Oryctolagus cuniculus: one gene and its partners. The protein of the gene in region 4 interacts with the protein of the main gene of each other region in a pairwise test. Links are inferred from orthologs where the notes say so. Each region holds a gene or a part of one and is shown on either strand. Other genes may lie near its edges.

What was found.
Region 1: the proteins of SRC (region 4) and RARA interact in a two-hybrid assay, tested with the Homo sapiens proteins (2 studies listed by BioGRID). The link is inferred for Oryctolagus cuniculus from reciprocal best matches to the Homo sapiens genes SRC and RARA.
Region 2: the proteins of SRC (region 4) and VDR interact in a two-hybrid assay, tested with the Homo sapiens proteins (2 studies listed by BioGRID). The link is inferred for Oryctolagus cuniculus from reciprocal best matches to the Homo sapiens genes SRC and VDR.
Region 3: the proteins of SRC (region 4) and ESR2 interact in a two-hybrid assay, tested with the Homo sapiens proteins (2 studies listed by BioGRID). The link is inferred for Oryctolagus cuniculus from reciprocal best matches to the Homo sapiens genes SRC and ESR2.

What each region holds. Positions count from the first base shown.
Region 1 is NC_091448.1:22,122,803-22,126,280, forward strand, and holds part of RARA (retinoic acid receptor alpha), read right to left. Parts: coding exon 3,445-3,478; intron 1,668-3,444; coding exon 1,507-1,667; intron 1,414-1,506; coding exon 1,237-1,413; intron 92-1,236; coding exon 1-91. UniProt on the Homo sapiens protein: Receptor for retinoic acid. Retinoic acid receptors bind as heterodimers to their target response elements in response to their ligands, all-trans or 9-cis retinoic acid, and regulate gene expression in various biological processes.
Region 2 is NC_091440.1:137,519,029-137,523,289, reverse strand, and holds the start of VDR (vitamin D3 receptor), read left to right. Parts: upstream 1-1,445; 5' UTR 1,446-1,561; intron 1,562-4,261.
Region 3 is NC_091451.1:6,196,682-6,200,241, forward strand, and holds part of ESR2 (estrogen receptor beta), read left to right. Parts: intron 1-2,486; coding exon 2,487-2,783; intron 2,784-3,560.
Region 4 is NC_091442.1:21,212,497-21,216,803, reverse strand, and holds the start of SRC (proto-oncogene tyrosine-protein kinase Src), read left to right. Parts: upstream 1-1,468; 5' UTR 1,469-1,793; intron 1,794-2,244; exon of another isoform or gene 2,245-2,264; intron 2,265-4,307. UniProt on the Homo sapiens protein: Non-receptor protein tyrosine kinase which is activated following engagement of many different classes of cellular receptors including immune response receptors, integrins and other adhesion receptors, receptor protein tyrosine kinases, G protein-coupled receptors as well as cytokine receptors.

The DNA of each region.
Region 1 (3,478 bases), on a different chromosome or scaffold from region 4:
CGTTGTGCATCTGGGTCCGGTTCAGGGTCAGTCCATCCGAGAAGGTCATCGTGTCCTGCTCGGGCGTGTACCGCGTGCAGATCCGCAGGATCTGGAGGCCGAAGACGCACAGGTGTAGGGATCCAGCCCCAGCACTCCAGGCCCAGCGCACCCCAGACGACCACCAGGCAGGCAGCCAGAGTGGCGCTGTCCAACCAAGTTCTCTACCCTGATGGAAAGCATCGGGGTCGGCGCCATCCCCATCGGCAGCCAGCAGCCACAAGTGGCCGTGGAGTCCCTGCGATGCGGCACGGAATCGAGTTTGGTGTTAATTAACAGCCGCCCCGCCCGCGAGAGCAGCTGCGGGCCTTGGCGGTGCGGGCGGGCCTGGGAGTTTAAGGGAAGCCAGAGTTTGCAGGAGGTGCGGAGCGTGGCGGGTTGAGGGCTAGTTTCCAGGACGAGCCACATGGGAGCGGGTAGTGAATACATGCCTGCTTGACTGTGCCTCCTGCTTCTGGGGCCTGGGGCTGTGAGGCCCCCGTGCAGAACCCGAGACCTCCCACCCCACCAGCTCCTCCGCGGCACAGAAGGAAAACGTCAGACTGCTCAGATCCCAGGTTCCGCACCCAGAGGCGGCCGAGAGGGAACCAGCAGACTGAGGCCCGGTCGGGGCGACAGAGCAGAGTCCTCCTTCCAGCCTTGGTCCTGACAGTCTCCCTACTACCCCACATCCTGCCCTGCCTGTCCACATGCAGGGCTCCACCAACTACTCTGCCTTCCCCCGAGTCAGGCAGGTCTCACAGCAGCAGGCCGTGCGTCCATCTGTCCGCCTCCTGCACCCAAGTCAGGGACCCCCCGTGCCTCTCCTACAAACCCCTCGATACTTCCTCCTCCAGGACGCCTCCTCGGGGGCAGGCGGCCACGGCCTCCCCACCTCCACGCGACCTCTGCTCACGTATGTGTTGCCCCTGTCACACGGAAGCTTTCGGGAGGGGAGGTGGTGGCCAACACCCCAGTGTTCCCGACAGCCAGCAAGGTGCGCGGTGAATCTCACGACGCAGTGGGCGGATGGATGGAAGGGCCGTTGGACAGACGGGGTGAGGCCGGGAGACGCACGTGTGGGGGAGTGGGGAGGCTGTGCATAGCAGGACGCAAGCAGCCAAGCGGGGAGGTTAACTAACTACGGGGACGGGAAGAGGTGGGGCCCCAGGGCAGGCAGCAGCTGCATGGCTGGGAGGCCAGGGCACAGATCCTCACCAGGATGTCCAGGCAGGCAGCCTTGAGGAGGGTGATCTGGTCAGCGATGGTGAGGGTGGTGAAGCCGGGCAGCTGCTTGGCAAACTCCACGGTCTTGATGATGCACTTGGTGGAGAGTTCACTGAACTTGTCCCAGAGGTCGATGTCCAGGGAGACGCGCTGCTCTGAGCTGTTGTTCTGGGGGAGGGGGAGAGTGAGGCCCTCTGTGGACTTCCCCGCCCCCCACAGGTCCCCGCAGAGGGCGGTGGGGCCAGAGGAGGGGTGCCGTACCGTAGTGTACTTGCCCAGCTGGCAGAGGGCGGGGAAGGTCTCCTGGTGCGCTTTGCGCACTTTCTCGATGAGCTCCCCCACCTCCGGCGTCAGCGTGTAGCTCTCGGAGCACTCGGGCTTGGGCGCCTCCTTCTTCTTCTTGTTCCGGTCGTTCCGCACAGCTGTGGAGGGCAGGGGCCGGGCTGGAGGACAGCTGTGGCCACAGCCCGGCCCTGTCCAGAGCTCTTCCCACCAGACTGACACCCGCTGAGGAGGTCACGGCGCTGGCCATGCACACGCATACACGGTATACACACCACACACAGCCAGACGCCCCCACCCCCACCCGCCCCACATGCACACACCCACAGTCCTGCAGTGGCCTCGCACACTTGCCCCGTAGCCATTCCACACCCCAGGGACTCGAGGGCAGCGCCCTCCTCTGTGCCTGGTCTGCCCCCAGGTAGGATCTGCACCAGCCCTCCCGGCAGGAGTCCCTGGGGGCGCCTGGGATAGGCTAGGGAGTAGGGTCCCCCAGGATGAGAGTGGGGGCCCCGACAGGACAGTCTCTTGGCCCATTAGCCGGGGAGCTGACAAATCACCGGGGGCGCTGAGCCGCACACACCGCTCGGCTTTAAAGAAGCGATGGGGTCGTTACCAGCCGATTATCCCAGACACACAATCACTCACAGGGCCAGTGGTGGCGGCTGCTGACGAGGGAGGAAGGGAGGTGGGGGTGGGGGCCCGGGGAGGGGGTAGTGGGTGGGGGGGCGCTGGCATAATTTGGAGATCACTCATGTCGATTCTGCAAATTCAATAAAGTGAAGGGGAGAGAAGGGAGAGGGAGAGGGAGAGTGGGGGGATAATTTGGGAAGAGAAAATTGCAGCTGTGACAAGACGTTTATCATTCGGAAGCTTTAATTCTATTGAAATGGCAGCTGCTCAGCTCCGGGGCACAGAGCAGCCAGCCGGGAGAAGGGAAGGAGGGAGGGAAGGGGGGCTGTTGGTGGGAGGGAGAGAGGGTCCCCACCCTGATCCTGCTGCGATGAAAAGAGCGGAAGGGGGCGCAGAGGGAGGAGGAGGTGACGGCCTTAGGTGAAGGGTCCCGGGCCTGTGGGTCCCACGTTGTCACCCACTCTGCATCAGGAAGCCATGGCTTCCCGGGGGCAGGACAAGGCAACCGAGTCTCCTGTGGCAAGAGGAAGCAGGACACTGCAGGTCCCTCTGCTCCTGTCTGGGCTACTGCCTGTGATGTGAGTCAGAACCACTCTCCGCAGTGCCCCCTCCCCACCTCCCTCTTCACTACCCTCCCCACAAAGGGCTAGGGGGTCCTGCAGACCCCTCCCCCTTCTTCATCCCCCAAGGCTCAGGCTCCATGGCAACGGCCACGCAGACAAGGAGGCGTCTGTCAGCGTCATTTATCTCTGACATCATCAATCACTGGTCACCACGGCAACACCCATGATTCAACACAAGAGGGTCTCCCTGTCCAGCCCTTCCCTCCCTTCCTCCCTCCCTCAGGCCTCAGCTGAGCCCAAACGGAAGACCCCATTTCTCTGGGACCTGAGAAGTCCCAATTCTGTCTTCAAACTCCAGATCTTCAGCTTCACCACATCCTGGCTTTTCAATCCTTATGCAAAGCCCTCCAAACCCACCCAGCACCCCTCGGATCCCAGGCCTCTCCCCTAAGACACACGCTCGGAAAGGACTCAGGGAACCCTGGGAGCAAAAACACACACACGCACATGCAAGGACACACAGCCAGTCGCACATGCACACTGGACCTGCACACACACACAGCCAGCCAGAATCTCACAGGTCCCTGCAGCTTTAGCCACACGCCCCAGCACGCATGCTCAGACACACGTGCACACACAGCCACAGGGCCCAACGGCCCGGCCTGCAGGAGCACCACGGGCCCCACCCACGGCCAGTCCGGCCTCCGCCCGTGGCACTCACACTCCTTGGACATGCCCACTTCGAAGCACTTCTG
Region 2 (4,261 bases), on a different chromosome or scaffold from region 4:
CTGCGCCCTGCAGCCCAGTATCTCGCACACAGCTCAAGCACTGACCCAAACTGTGATCTGAGCATCCCAGGAGGACACAAGAAACGGGAAAGGGTGTTTCCTGCAGAGGTTCTGGTGCGGGGCTCACAGCCCTCCACCCAAAGCGGCCAGCCACGGCTCTGCAGTGCATGGGTGCTGGCGGCCGCCAGGCTCCCGGCGGGCAGGGCAGGGGAGAGCAGGAGGCGACCAGCGAGGGCACCAGGACGCAGGAGTGGAGGTGCGCATGCCCTCTGGCTTTCCCACTTGCACAGAACGGCCATTCTTGTAAGGAGAAAAAGTCCCATTCCAAGTAAAGCCAGGACATGCCATCATCCAGCACAGGCACATGGCACGCGGGTCCTGCCACAGACAGCCCTGGAGCTGCCAGGCAGGCAGGACCCGGGAGAGGAGAGGTCAGTCAGGAGCTGGGGGACTCTGAGAAGAACCTGACTTTGGACACGGCCATGGGGCCACAGTGCTGGGGACCAGAGAAAGCTGACCTTGCAGGTCTGCAAACCCAGAGCCTCTGCGTTCTCTACAGCTGTGGGCGACAGGGCAGGGAGGGGGGGCCTGGGCGGGTGGCCTGTCACTCCCAGTGCTTGTCGGCGCTGCAGGTCCTACCCACCTGAGGTTGTGACGAGGACCCAACAAGAAACTCCCTGGAGCCCACCACACACTAGAACCTCTGCACAGAATGCGCACTGCGCACTGCTGTGACCCGGGGCTGTGGGGTGGCACAGCCGGTCTGGGGAGCTCGCGCCCTGCCCTGTTTGCCAGGTGCCAGCAGGCCCGCCCCCTTCAGAGGCTGCTGGGTTCTGAGAATGCTGGGGGGGGGGGTCTTTCCAATTTCCAGCCACCAGGCTGCAGCTCCCGGGGTGAGGGTCTATTCCTAAATCCAACCAAACCCAGGCCGATGCTCTTCCCCAAGAACAAGTGCCCCCCCCCCCCAGGGTCTTCCTCCAGGGGTCCTCGCTGACCTGGATAGGGAGAGGACAGGGGTGACAGCTGCTCACTCCCAGCGAGCAGCAGGTGCTGGGGACTAATCACAGCCGCCCCGCCTCAGTTCCCCTGTTCAGCGAGCCCCTCTGAGACCGCCATCGACCCATTCCTCCGTGCCTAATGGAGGCCACCAGCTGCCGGCGACCCAGCCAGAGCCCAGGCCGCAGCAGGGCAGCAGCAGGGGCGTTTCCGGCACTACTGCAGGTCTGGGGAGCATCTGGCCCTCGGGCCAGGAGGCTGAGGCCGGCCAGGGAGCGGTGACCACGCGAGCGTGGGCCGCCCAGGGGGGCCGCGAGCACCACAGTGGCGGGCAGGCGGAGGTGCGGTCCGACGGCCAAAGGCGCGCGAGGCTGAGTCCACCGGCCACAGCGCGTGGCCGACCCAGTCGGGGCGGAGCCGCGGGGGCGGGCGCAGGGCGGGTCCGGGCGCGAGGCGGGGCCAGGTGCCAGGCGGACACCCCCACCCCGCCCCCTCCTGCTTGTCAAAAGGCAGCCGCGGAGCGAAGGCTCCGGGACCGCGAGTCGCGAGCCCACCGGACGGACAGGTGGGACCCGGGAGCGGCGGGGCGGGGGTCCAGGCGTCTGGGCGTCGGCGCTCCGCGTCTGAGCGCAGTGCCGGCTCCGGAGCCTGTCTCAGGGCATACTTGGCACCGAGCTGCGGGCTCCGGGACCCTCAGACCTGACGCAGGGGGACTGCAGGGCTGGGGAGTCGCAGGCGGCGGGCGGTGCGGCGGTGCGGCGGTGCGGGAGCGGGAGTGGGGCCCCGGCCGTGCGCGCGGACCTGGAGGGTCCCGGTGCCGCCTCTCTCGCGGTCTGCGGAGCCCACGTGTGGTCACCTGCGATAGTAGATCTAGGTCTTCCAAGTATTTTTCTTTTCGGGACTTCTCTTTAAGTACCCTCAGTGGGTTCCGGTGCGTTTGGTTTGTTTTCGCGAGCGCCTGTCCGCAGACGTCCAGGAGAGCTCCGGGCAGGCGTCCGAGCCCCGGAGGCTCAGGGCGGAGCTTCGGTCTGGGCAGTGAGGGGAGCCGGGGTGAGGAGCGGCAGAGGGAGGGTCTGGGACTGGGGGCGGCGGATAGCTGCTCCTTCTCCCTCCCGGGTCTGCCCCAGCGGCCGGGAGCCGCGGCCCGCCTTCCTCACCACCTCCTCCTCCATGCGCCAGTGAGTCAGCCTCCTGTCTGTGCTCAGAGCAGCCAGAGGGGCCGCAGCCCTGGCAGGCAGCTGGGCAGGCATGTCCCGAACACCGCAGAAGCGCTGGGCAGAGTTCAGTCCTGCTCCAGCCCTCTGCTGCCGGCCAGGGGGTGGGAGGGGGCCAGCTACAGCTAGCCTGGGGCTGGCTGTGGGCTGGTTCCAGAAGGGGTTCGTGGTGAAAGATGTGGCTTTGTGTAAATTCACATCTCAGCCCTCTGCGAGGGTGGGCAGTCGCGTCCCGCCCCATGGTGTCTCTGCCAGGGAGGTGGGAGCCCGGCCGGGGTGGGGGTGGGTCTTCTGCACCCTGGGCTCTGGACTCTGTGAGCTCAGCGCCGCATGCAGGGGCCCAGCCTCGGCCCCTCGCTGTCCAGCCGCCGAGCCAGAAGGTAGTGAGACTGCAGCTTTATCCAGAGAGGCTCCCCAGCAGAAGCCGGGGCCCAGAGCCCACGGCTGCCACTTAGGGCCTTCCTTTGAGCTGCTGGAGAATGACCTGGGAGGCCAGCCGGGCACAGCGCTGACCGAAAGTGCGGGAAGCTCAGCGTTCCCGGGCTGTGCGCTGACCGGGGTCAGGGTTTGGGCTCTGTCCGGCCCTGATCAGCTGCGACCTGCCGAGCTGGAGGAGAGATGGGAGAGAGACGCAGCCGCCAGGCCCCTCTCCTCCGCCCGTGTGCCCAGGCTGCTGTGGAGGGCCTGCGTGGTGTTTGGGAGCCCCGGTCGCTTGTACTCACGGCTCTCCGAGTGGTGCCACTCTGGTCTCCTCTGCACTCGGCTCCAGAGGAAGCTCCAACAGGACTGCCTCAGCTCCTCCCAGGGAGAGAGCAGGTGTCTAGCCTCCGGCCCAGGGGAGGAAGGCCTGGACCAGGTGATTATCCTAGATGGGGAGAGAGTCCAGGCCGAGACCGGCCCCCGGAACTCCTGCTGCTCCATTGCTGGGCAGAGACCGACGGGGCCCGGCTTCCCATGGTCCCTGTATGAGCCGGTTTGGGAAGTGAGGACAGGCGGTGGCCGTGGGCTGGCCCCCGCTGCTCTCCATCTGTGGCTGAACCAGGACCTTCGTCCATTTGTGCTCTGCTCTCTGTACCTGTTCCCCGTGCTGCCGCCCTACTATACTGGGTGTGCTGGAGTGACTGTGATTTAGCCTCCAAACCGGGACACTTTTGAGACTGGAAGCGGCGCTATGTGCTGGTTCAGCCAGGACAAGGGACACCAACTGGACTGCGCGGGCCCTCCCCGTGGGGGCCGAGTGCTGCAGGCTGCTCGCGGGAGTCACAGCCAGCCCCATGCTGTCGCTGGGGTGGCACAGGCCCCAGGGGTGACTTACCTTCACCCTGGGCTAGCGCCCCACTTGTACCTCACACAGGGACAGAGGCCTGCGGCTCCTCTTCTGCCCTGGGGATTCGGGGGACGGCGGGGCCAGCCCCACGCTTCCTGTTTCCCTGCTCAGCATCTGCAGCCTCTGCGTTTTCTCAGCACGGCTTTCCAGACCTCTGCGCTGTGCCGTCCCACAAGAAGGCAGGCTGCGTGCAGGTTAACACCCAGGAAGGGAAGGGCCGCAAACCTTGGCCTTGTGGATAGAGGACACAGGTCGCTGTAATCAGGCTCTGGGGCAGTGGTGCCCAAGGTGGAGACCAGCGCCACGGGGAGGCTGCCTGGACTCTCTGGCCTGCTGTGACCACTGGGGAAGTGGTACAGGGTGAGGGCGTGTGGAGGGGAGACTGCCCTCCCTGTGCGTCCTCGTGGTCAGGGAAGGCTCCCTGGAGAGTCCCCAGACATGCGGGGTGCAAGCAACTGCGGCATGGGGTGTGGGGGCGCGTCAAGACCTCCTGGGAAGTCCCACCTTTAAAGCGGGGGAGGAGGGGGCGGGCAGGCTGGCCGAGACTGGCGGCGTGGGCCGCTCTGAGAGTCTGCGTGTGTCATGCCTTACAAACCTGCCCAGCCGGTCCCGTGCCAAGGAATAGGCCCGGCAGTGTTCCCAGAGCAAGGCGCCACAGTGCATCCCTGCTGCCCAGGGAGAGCCCCGGTTCTGACAGGCGTGTGGGCAGCTGCACCAGCGGGAA
Region 3 (3,560 bases), on a different chromosome or scaffold from region 4:
ACCTCCATTTTCTGAATTCTGGCCCATAAACCTGTAAAGACTGAAACATGTTGGTACCAGCACAGGAAGAGGAGAATAGATATGTAAAACAGCGGAGAATCCAGAACAAGAATACTTTATATATCATTATTTATTAAGGACAAAGCATTTTAAATCAATGTTTAGAAAAGCGTATTTAATAAATAGTATTGGTAAAATGTGCACTCATCTGGGAAACTGTACCATGAAATATCAGTATAATAGAGAGCTGCATAAGATTCCAAATAGATTTGAACTGAGAAGATGAAGGAGAATGTTTGTACAAGATGGTGTGACAAAAACTCACCACGAGCATCGTTAAAGCTTATGTAGCAAACAAGACATATTGCACGTAACCAAAGTTAGCTGTCACTGCAGTATTAGGAACCTTTATAATAATACATTAGAGGAAAATAATATAAAACAAGATATATAATATAAAGTTGTATATTACATAAATACATTTTAATAAAATAATACAATAATATATTAGAGGATAAAAGGGCAAAGTAAGCAAGTAGGCAATTCATAAATAAAAAAATACAAAGCAGATTTTTTTAGTCAACAACCTTACTACTCATTAAAGAAATGCTTAGTCATTTGTCCGATTAGCAAATATTAAAAATGATTTTTAGTGTCCCATGATATGAGAAAATAGGTAGTCTTTAAACCATTGTTCAGAGTATAAAATTTTAAATACTTTTGGAGAACATTATGTCAATATATATTAAAATTTTAAATGTGTATATGCTTTGGTTCAGCAGTTTCACTCCAAATTTATTGTAAGGAAGTACTTAGATATGCATCTAAAAATGTATTTCCATTTGCATTTAATATTGGCAAAGCAATTAGAAACAACCTAAATATTCATCAATAGGAGACTTCAAATAAGTAAATGATGTTATAGAACAGAGTGCTATACAGTTTTTAAATATTTGTAAAATTGTTTTAAATAAAAACCCAAAATGTAGATTATAAAATAGTTTATGTACTGATTATGTATGAAATACAGAAAATTACAAAATATAAAAAAGTCAAAGAATTTAGATCAAAATTCACTTATATGTTACATATTTTTAAACATTAATTTGTTTTTGAAATATACTTGTTTAAAATGTAAAAAGAAAAACTCAGGAAACTTAGGCATGCCAGCATGCCTTAAAAGAGAAGTGGATTCTAATTATTCTTAGGTGTTTAAATTTAACTGAAAATTGATCCCTGTTAAAAATAAGAGTGGGAATAAGAGAGGGAGGAGACGTACAGTTTGGCACAAGCTCACTCAGACTTACCCCTAATGGTAGAGCTAGAAACGTGCCATGGGACTCCAAATTCCATTAAGTTGGTAGGTACCAATGCCATCTTACTAGTTAAAGTGATCAGTTTAAGTTCATAATTGATCATAAAGATAGGATTAAGTGTCAAAGGGAACACATAAATAAGACCAGTGTCTGCTAATTATAATTGATAGAATTAAAAAAGAGAGAAGGACCCACCATGAGAAGCAGGATACACAGCAGACTCATAGAATGACAAAGGCCCTTAACAGCACTCTGGCCTCAGAATCAGCCCTTAAGACATTCAGATCCGGCTAAAAAGCCCATGAGAGTTTCTCAGGCATGGAAAGCCAAGACACTTTGGCAAAAAATGATCTAAATGAAAGATCTCTGTGAGTGAGATCCCAGGGGAAAGAGGGGGCCATCAAAGAAAGAGGTACCATTCTCTGAAGGGAAGGGAAAACTTTGACTTTGATTATGGCCTTGTCTAAATAAGGTCAGAGTTTGTGAACTCAAGAGGCTTCCATAGCCTTGGCAGCTCATGACAAGAGCATCGGGTGATTACTGATGTAATAAAGAAGAGTGTCAATTGTTAAATCAACAACAGGAGTGACTGTGCACTTGCTTCCCATGTAGGATCTCTGTCAATGTGTTATACTATGCAAATTAATGGTAAAACTAGTATTCAAACAGTACTTTATACTTTGTGTATCCATGTGGGTGCAGTCTGTTGAAATCTTTACTTAGTATAGAGTTGATCTTCTGTATATAAAGATAATTAAAATGAATTTCAACGAAGAATGGGATGGGAGAGGGAGTAGGAGATGGGATGGTTTGTGGGTGGGAGGGAGGTTATAGGGGGGAAAAACCGCTATAATCCAAAAGTTGCACTTTTAGAAAACTTTTATTTAATAAATATAAATTTCCAAAAAAAAAAGTGGATTCAGTATCCATAGATAACCCTGAAATGGGGAGACCTGAGAAGTTGTTGGTGTTGCTGATGTCACACCTGTAATGAGCACTGCTGGGTACAAGCCTCCAGGGCTCCAGATAATCACAGCGAAGCCTCCGCTGTCAGACTTGCTTGCTCTGAAGATGCACTTGCTAGGGGCTTTCTGTGATGTCACTGTGTCGTTTTCACCCTGGCCAGTCGGGGAGCTGGAATGCTGGTCATCGTCTGCTTTCGCCCCGCAGGCTCCCGGAGAGAAAGGTGTGGGTACCGCATAGTGCGGAGACGGAGAAGTTCCGGCGAGCTGCACTGCCCGAGCAGAGCCAGGAAGAACGGAGGCCCTGTGACGCGCGTCAAGGACGTGCTGCTGAGCGCCCTGAGCCCGGAACAGCTGGTGCTCACCCTGCTGGAGGCAGAGCCGCCCCACGTGCTGGTGAGCCGCCCCAGCTCGCCCTTCACCGAGACCTCCATGATGCTGTCCCTCACCAAGCTGGCCGACAAGGAATTGGTGCACATGATCGGCTGGGCCAAGAAAATCCCCGGTAGGCTCCCTGGGTGATTGTGTTCCATTTGTGGGAAGGCCTGCCCGATGTTTAGGGGCTGGGGGTACAAAGTGGAGGTCCCCGGGCTCTGTCCACATGTTTACAGCTTGCCGTCTTGATTCATAACTTGTAAATGAGGTTTGTTTTTTTCCTTCTGTCTTGACCCACATACCCTCAGGTGTCCTGGGAGGCAGTTTCTGACTCAGGAATCTTGAGGCTTCTGGGTTCTTCTATATTATGCATGGTAGTGCAGGAGGAGTTAGTTGTATGTGACCTGCCCTTTTCTTTCAAGATTGATTTATTTATTTGAAAGTCAGAGCTGCAAAGTGAGGGGGGTCGGAGAGAGAGATCTTCCATCCGCTGTCACTCCCCAGCTGGCACAATGGCCAGGCCAAAGTCAGGAGCTTCATCAGGGTCTCCCACATGGGTGGCAGGGGCCCAAACACTTGAGCCATCTTCTGCTTCTTTCTTCAGGCCATTAGCAGAGAGCTGGATTGAACGTGGTGGGGTAGCAGGACACGAACTGGTGCCCGAATGGGATGCTGGTGTCACAGGTGGTGGCTTTACCAGCTAACACCACAATGCCAGCCCCTAGCCCTTCCATTTCTATTCCTCACTCTTCTTTCCCCATCCCCAGATCCATCCGACACCACGGAGACACATGCTCCTCCTATGTGTCCACATCATCTGTTGGCCACTTCTGTGTCCACGTGTGGTATGGGAGGAGACTCACCCAGTGTCTGCAGCTGGGCTTAGGACCATTGGGCAGGGAATTCT
Region 4 (4,307 bases):
GGATGCCGGCGCTTCAGGCCAGGGCATTAACACACTGCGCCACAGTGCCAGCCCCAGAGAGAACCCAGTTTTCAGGCTGGCATATGGAAGCTAAGAGATAAATGGTATGATCAACATCACACATCCAGGAAGCGACAGAGTTGAGACTTGAACCTAGGTCTCTGGGTCCAAAGTCTGTGTTTTAAAGCTGGGATCTCAGCTCTCGAAAAGCCCAGAACCTTCTGTTGAACTCCGGAGGCTGAACGCAGTGCTGTGCTGGGAAACATCGAACAACACAGTCTGTGCGTCTGCCGATGGCCCAGGTGTAAACACTCCCGGTGTGGCTGGCATCAGTGACATCACAGCGCTCGGAGGTAGGAGGGGCCAGCCCGGGTGAACAGCCCACCTCCTGGGCGGCCAGCGATGGCCTTTAGACACACATCCGTGTCTGAGGAGTGCAGAGGGCCGAGGGACCTGCTCCTCCAGCCGGCTGAGTCCGGGGCAGCCGCGGTTAATCTTTAAGCCAGCCTTGCAAACAGGCGCAACCATTTCACCAGCCCGGGAGGGCTTCTGCTGCCAGCCCTGCCGACGACTTCCGCAGGGACCCGGGCGGCCTCTTTCTCCTCTGCACTGTTTATCATTTGTAAGGCGCAACCCCGGCCACCTCACACCACAGGCTGGGGTAGCTGATGAACTTGAACCTGCTCAGCTGTGAACCCAGATCAGCTGCGGCTCCTGGCTCCCGGCTCATGGTACCCCGAGGCCGCTGCCCGCCACATTCTAGGGAGCTTCTCCCAGCTTTCTGGTGCTGCTCTGGCCGGGCCGGGCCTTGCTTTCCTACTCGTGCAACCAGAAAACTTCCCAGGAAGGAAAGCAGAGGCAGGTGCTGTGTTTCAAGCTTGGTTCAGGCCGGGTTCTCAGACCCCTGCCCTGACTGCAGGAGGTCAAGGAGCAGCCAAGGGCACCCCCCCTCCCCCCCAGCACCTAGCAGGCAGCCGTGGCCAGGGGGTCTCTGTGGCCTCAACCAGCCTTTTCCTCCAAGTCCCGACTTTCTGCCGCTGCCCCGCTGGGTCCAGAAGTCTTGGCTTCTTCAGGCGCTGGGAGGTGAACCTGCCTCCAGGTTTTGCCAAACTCTGCACGTCGGCCACTGGGCTTTGCCTCTGCTTCCCCTCTCAGAGGAACGCAGTGGACCTGCAAAAGTGGACGCCGCTCCTCCCGGCACCGTCCCTCCCGCCCCAGCACCCTCTTGGCAGGTCAAGGCAGGGTTCTTGCCAGTGCCTCAGTGTTCTCATCTGTGCAATGGGGTAACCATCGGTCACCAGGGTGCACTGAGCCACTCAGCTGGGTGCCGGGCGAGCTGCGAGCGCAGCGTCAGTGCAGACATTGCCAACAGCGGGAGAGGCGGATCGGGGCCACCGGAGGGCCGGGGTGCGGGGGCTGCGGGAGGGGGCGCTCTCAGGGCGGGGCGGGGCTTGTGGCCCGGGCCCCGCCCCCGCCCGGACCCTGGCCAGGCCGCGCCTGGGTCCCTCCCGGGTCACCGGCGGGGAAGCCATCCCCGCAAGCTTCCTCCTTCCTCCTGCCGGCTCCCGCCGGCCCCTCCTCCCGCTCGCGCGCCCTCCCTCCCCTTCCCCTCCCGGCCGCCGCCGCCTCCTCCCTTTCTCTCTCGGTCGCTCCGGGCCCGGACTCCATTCCGGCCTGGGAGCCGGCGCGGCCAGGCCGCCGTCAGCCCGCCCGCTCGCTCCGGCCCCGCGGTCCGCCCTCGCACGTCCGTCCGTCCGTCCGCCCGCGCGCCCGCGCGCCCGCCCGCGGCCCAGGTGAGCGCACCCGCCCTCCGCAGGCCCGGTCCGGCGGCGTGGCGGGGGAGCCCCCCTCGAGACCCCTCCCCCGGTGTCCGATCTCCCGCCCGGGGCCCCTGTGCCTCCCCCCAGGTCCGCACCCCCAGCCGAGCCGCGGCCCCCGAGAGCTGGGCGGACGCGCGAGGCCGTGCCCAGCGCGGCCTTTTGTTGCGATGCGGCGCGGGGAGGGGGCCGGGCGGGGGTGCCGGGGTCCTGTCTGCGCGGGGACCCGGGGGGCTCCATTCTCCCTGTGGATCCCCGAGACGCGGGCGAGCCGGGCCGGCCCCGGGGCCAGGTCTAGGCCACATCTGAAATCAGCGCGTCGGCGTCCCTCTGGCCCCCGCTGGCCGGCCTGGCTCCCAGCGCCCCGGTGGGAGATGGGGGCCGGCAGAGCCAGTCGGGGGCTGCGGTCCGGGCCATCGGGACCCCGCTGCCCTCTTGGGGCCTCAGGTAGGCCCTGGTGCTGCTGGCCTGGAGGGGACTGGGCCAGACAGCGCTGGATGCCCCCAGCCTCACCCCTGAGCAGGCCCAGTCTCTGTGGGCTTTGAAGTTGACAAAAGTTTTGGGGTTTCGCCACCCGGCCTGTTCCAGTGGGCTGCCTGGGCAGGGGCTGGGGGTGGTGTGAGTGCCCATGGGGGCCACTGTTTGCTCTGCTGTGTGTTCTCCCCCAGCTGCCAGCCCTCTCTGAGCTGGGGCCCTCATCAGTGGCAGGTGGGTCTGGCTGGGGCTGCCCAGCCTGGGGGGAGATTGGGGTGAATAGAAGGGGCTCACCTGTGTGGCCTGGGCAGGGTTTCCGGTGCCTCACTGGGTTCTGCACCTTGGGGAGCGTGGGCCCTGGGCCCCCAGGGGCCCCTGGGCTGAGGCCAGGCCCCGCCTGCCTGTGACTGAGAGGGGACTTGGTTTTAAGGCTGGGAGGGTGGGCTGTTGCCCAAGGCTGGGGTCCAGACACCTAGCCTTGACTCGCTGGGTGAGCCTGGCCAAGGGGCTGACCCTCGATCCCTGCGTGGGCAGCGGGTTCCTAGGGTGGCCGGCCTGTGCGCTTCTGCATCCAGGGCTTGGCGCGCAGTAGGTGCTCGGTGAACTTGGAGTTGGGCTGCTGACCCGAGCGGGCTCCCGGCTTCAGAAGAGCATGGACCGGGGCCCAGAAAGGCTCCTCCTGACCCCTAGAGAGAGCAGCAGCCCCGTGCCGCCCTGCCACCCAGCAGCTGCGTGACCCCAGGCAACCCACGGCTCCCTCTGGCCTCAGTCTTAGCAAATGGAAAATGGGCTGATGCGTGAACGCCTCTCGTTGATCCTCGGTGTGCCGACGGGGAAACTGAGGCTCAGAGGGGGGACGTGACTTGGTCAGGGCCACACCGTTGGCAGCTGCCCTTGAACCTCTCCAGCCGCTGCCCCGTGTGGGGCCAGGCACGCGACAGTGGCAGAAGAGACGCCGCTGCCGAGCCCTGGGCTGGGAGCCACGAGGCCCTTCTGGTGATGTGGTCTTTCCACAGCGTGTCGCCTCCCTCAGCTGACTGCCTGCCCCGTCTGCCAGGAGCACCCTCTCTCCTCTGAGCGGCTTATCTGCTCCTGGGCTTGGGCCCATCCTCCCGGGAAGCGAGGCCCCAGCCCGCTCTTGCCTGTCCCGCTGCCCTGCGTGGAGCCCGAGTTTTCCCCAGGGCTCAGCCTGGCTCCTGCTCGGGCTCCTTCCCTGACTGTGACCTGGGGGATCTCCCTGGTTCTCACTGACCGCGTGTCCCCAGACCTGCCTAGTGCAAGTTCTGGCACCCCGTATTGAGCACCTACTGTGTACTAGGAGCTCTGAACCCAGGCTGAGCAGGACTGTGTTGGGGTTGACAGTGGGAGTGGTGGGAGGCACTGGAAGGCTTCCAGGAGGTGGTGTGCCTGAGCTGAGCAGGGAGCAGGGGTTCCCCGACAAAGAAGGAAGAGGGCGCCCCCCCACCCCGCCTCCTGCTCACACACTTCTCAGGGACCTTGGGGCCGTGGGCGTGGCCAGCCTGGTGGGGGAGTTATGACCAGGTCCTTGGCCTTCCAGAAACTTGAATCTGGAAGGTGAACCAAGTTGCAAACAAGTTGCCAGATAAATTAATATATAATCGGAGATTGTGATAAGGCCTGGAGAGAGAGGCCTGGCGTACAAAGGAGTCTTGAGAAAAGCATGTAGGAGTTGGCCAGGCGTGAAGCCAGGGTAAGGGCTTGCCAGGCAGCTGAAGTGCATGTGCAAAGGCCCTGGGGTGGGGGAGGGTGTGCTGTTGTGGGCACAGAGAGGAGGTGAGCAGGTAAGAGGTGAGACCAGGAGGTGTGGCCTGTAGGACTGGCGTGTGGGTCTGAGCCTTCAGGTGGAGGTTGGCCATCCCATGCCAGACGGTACAGAACTGACCAGGGCACCTGATGGAAGTAGGTCTCCTACGGCACCGACTCGGGTCTTGCGAGGAAGAGGCAGGTGTGGCTGGGCTTTCGACGGCAGCGTCGGAGTTCGCCAGCAGGAAGGCC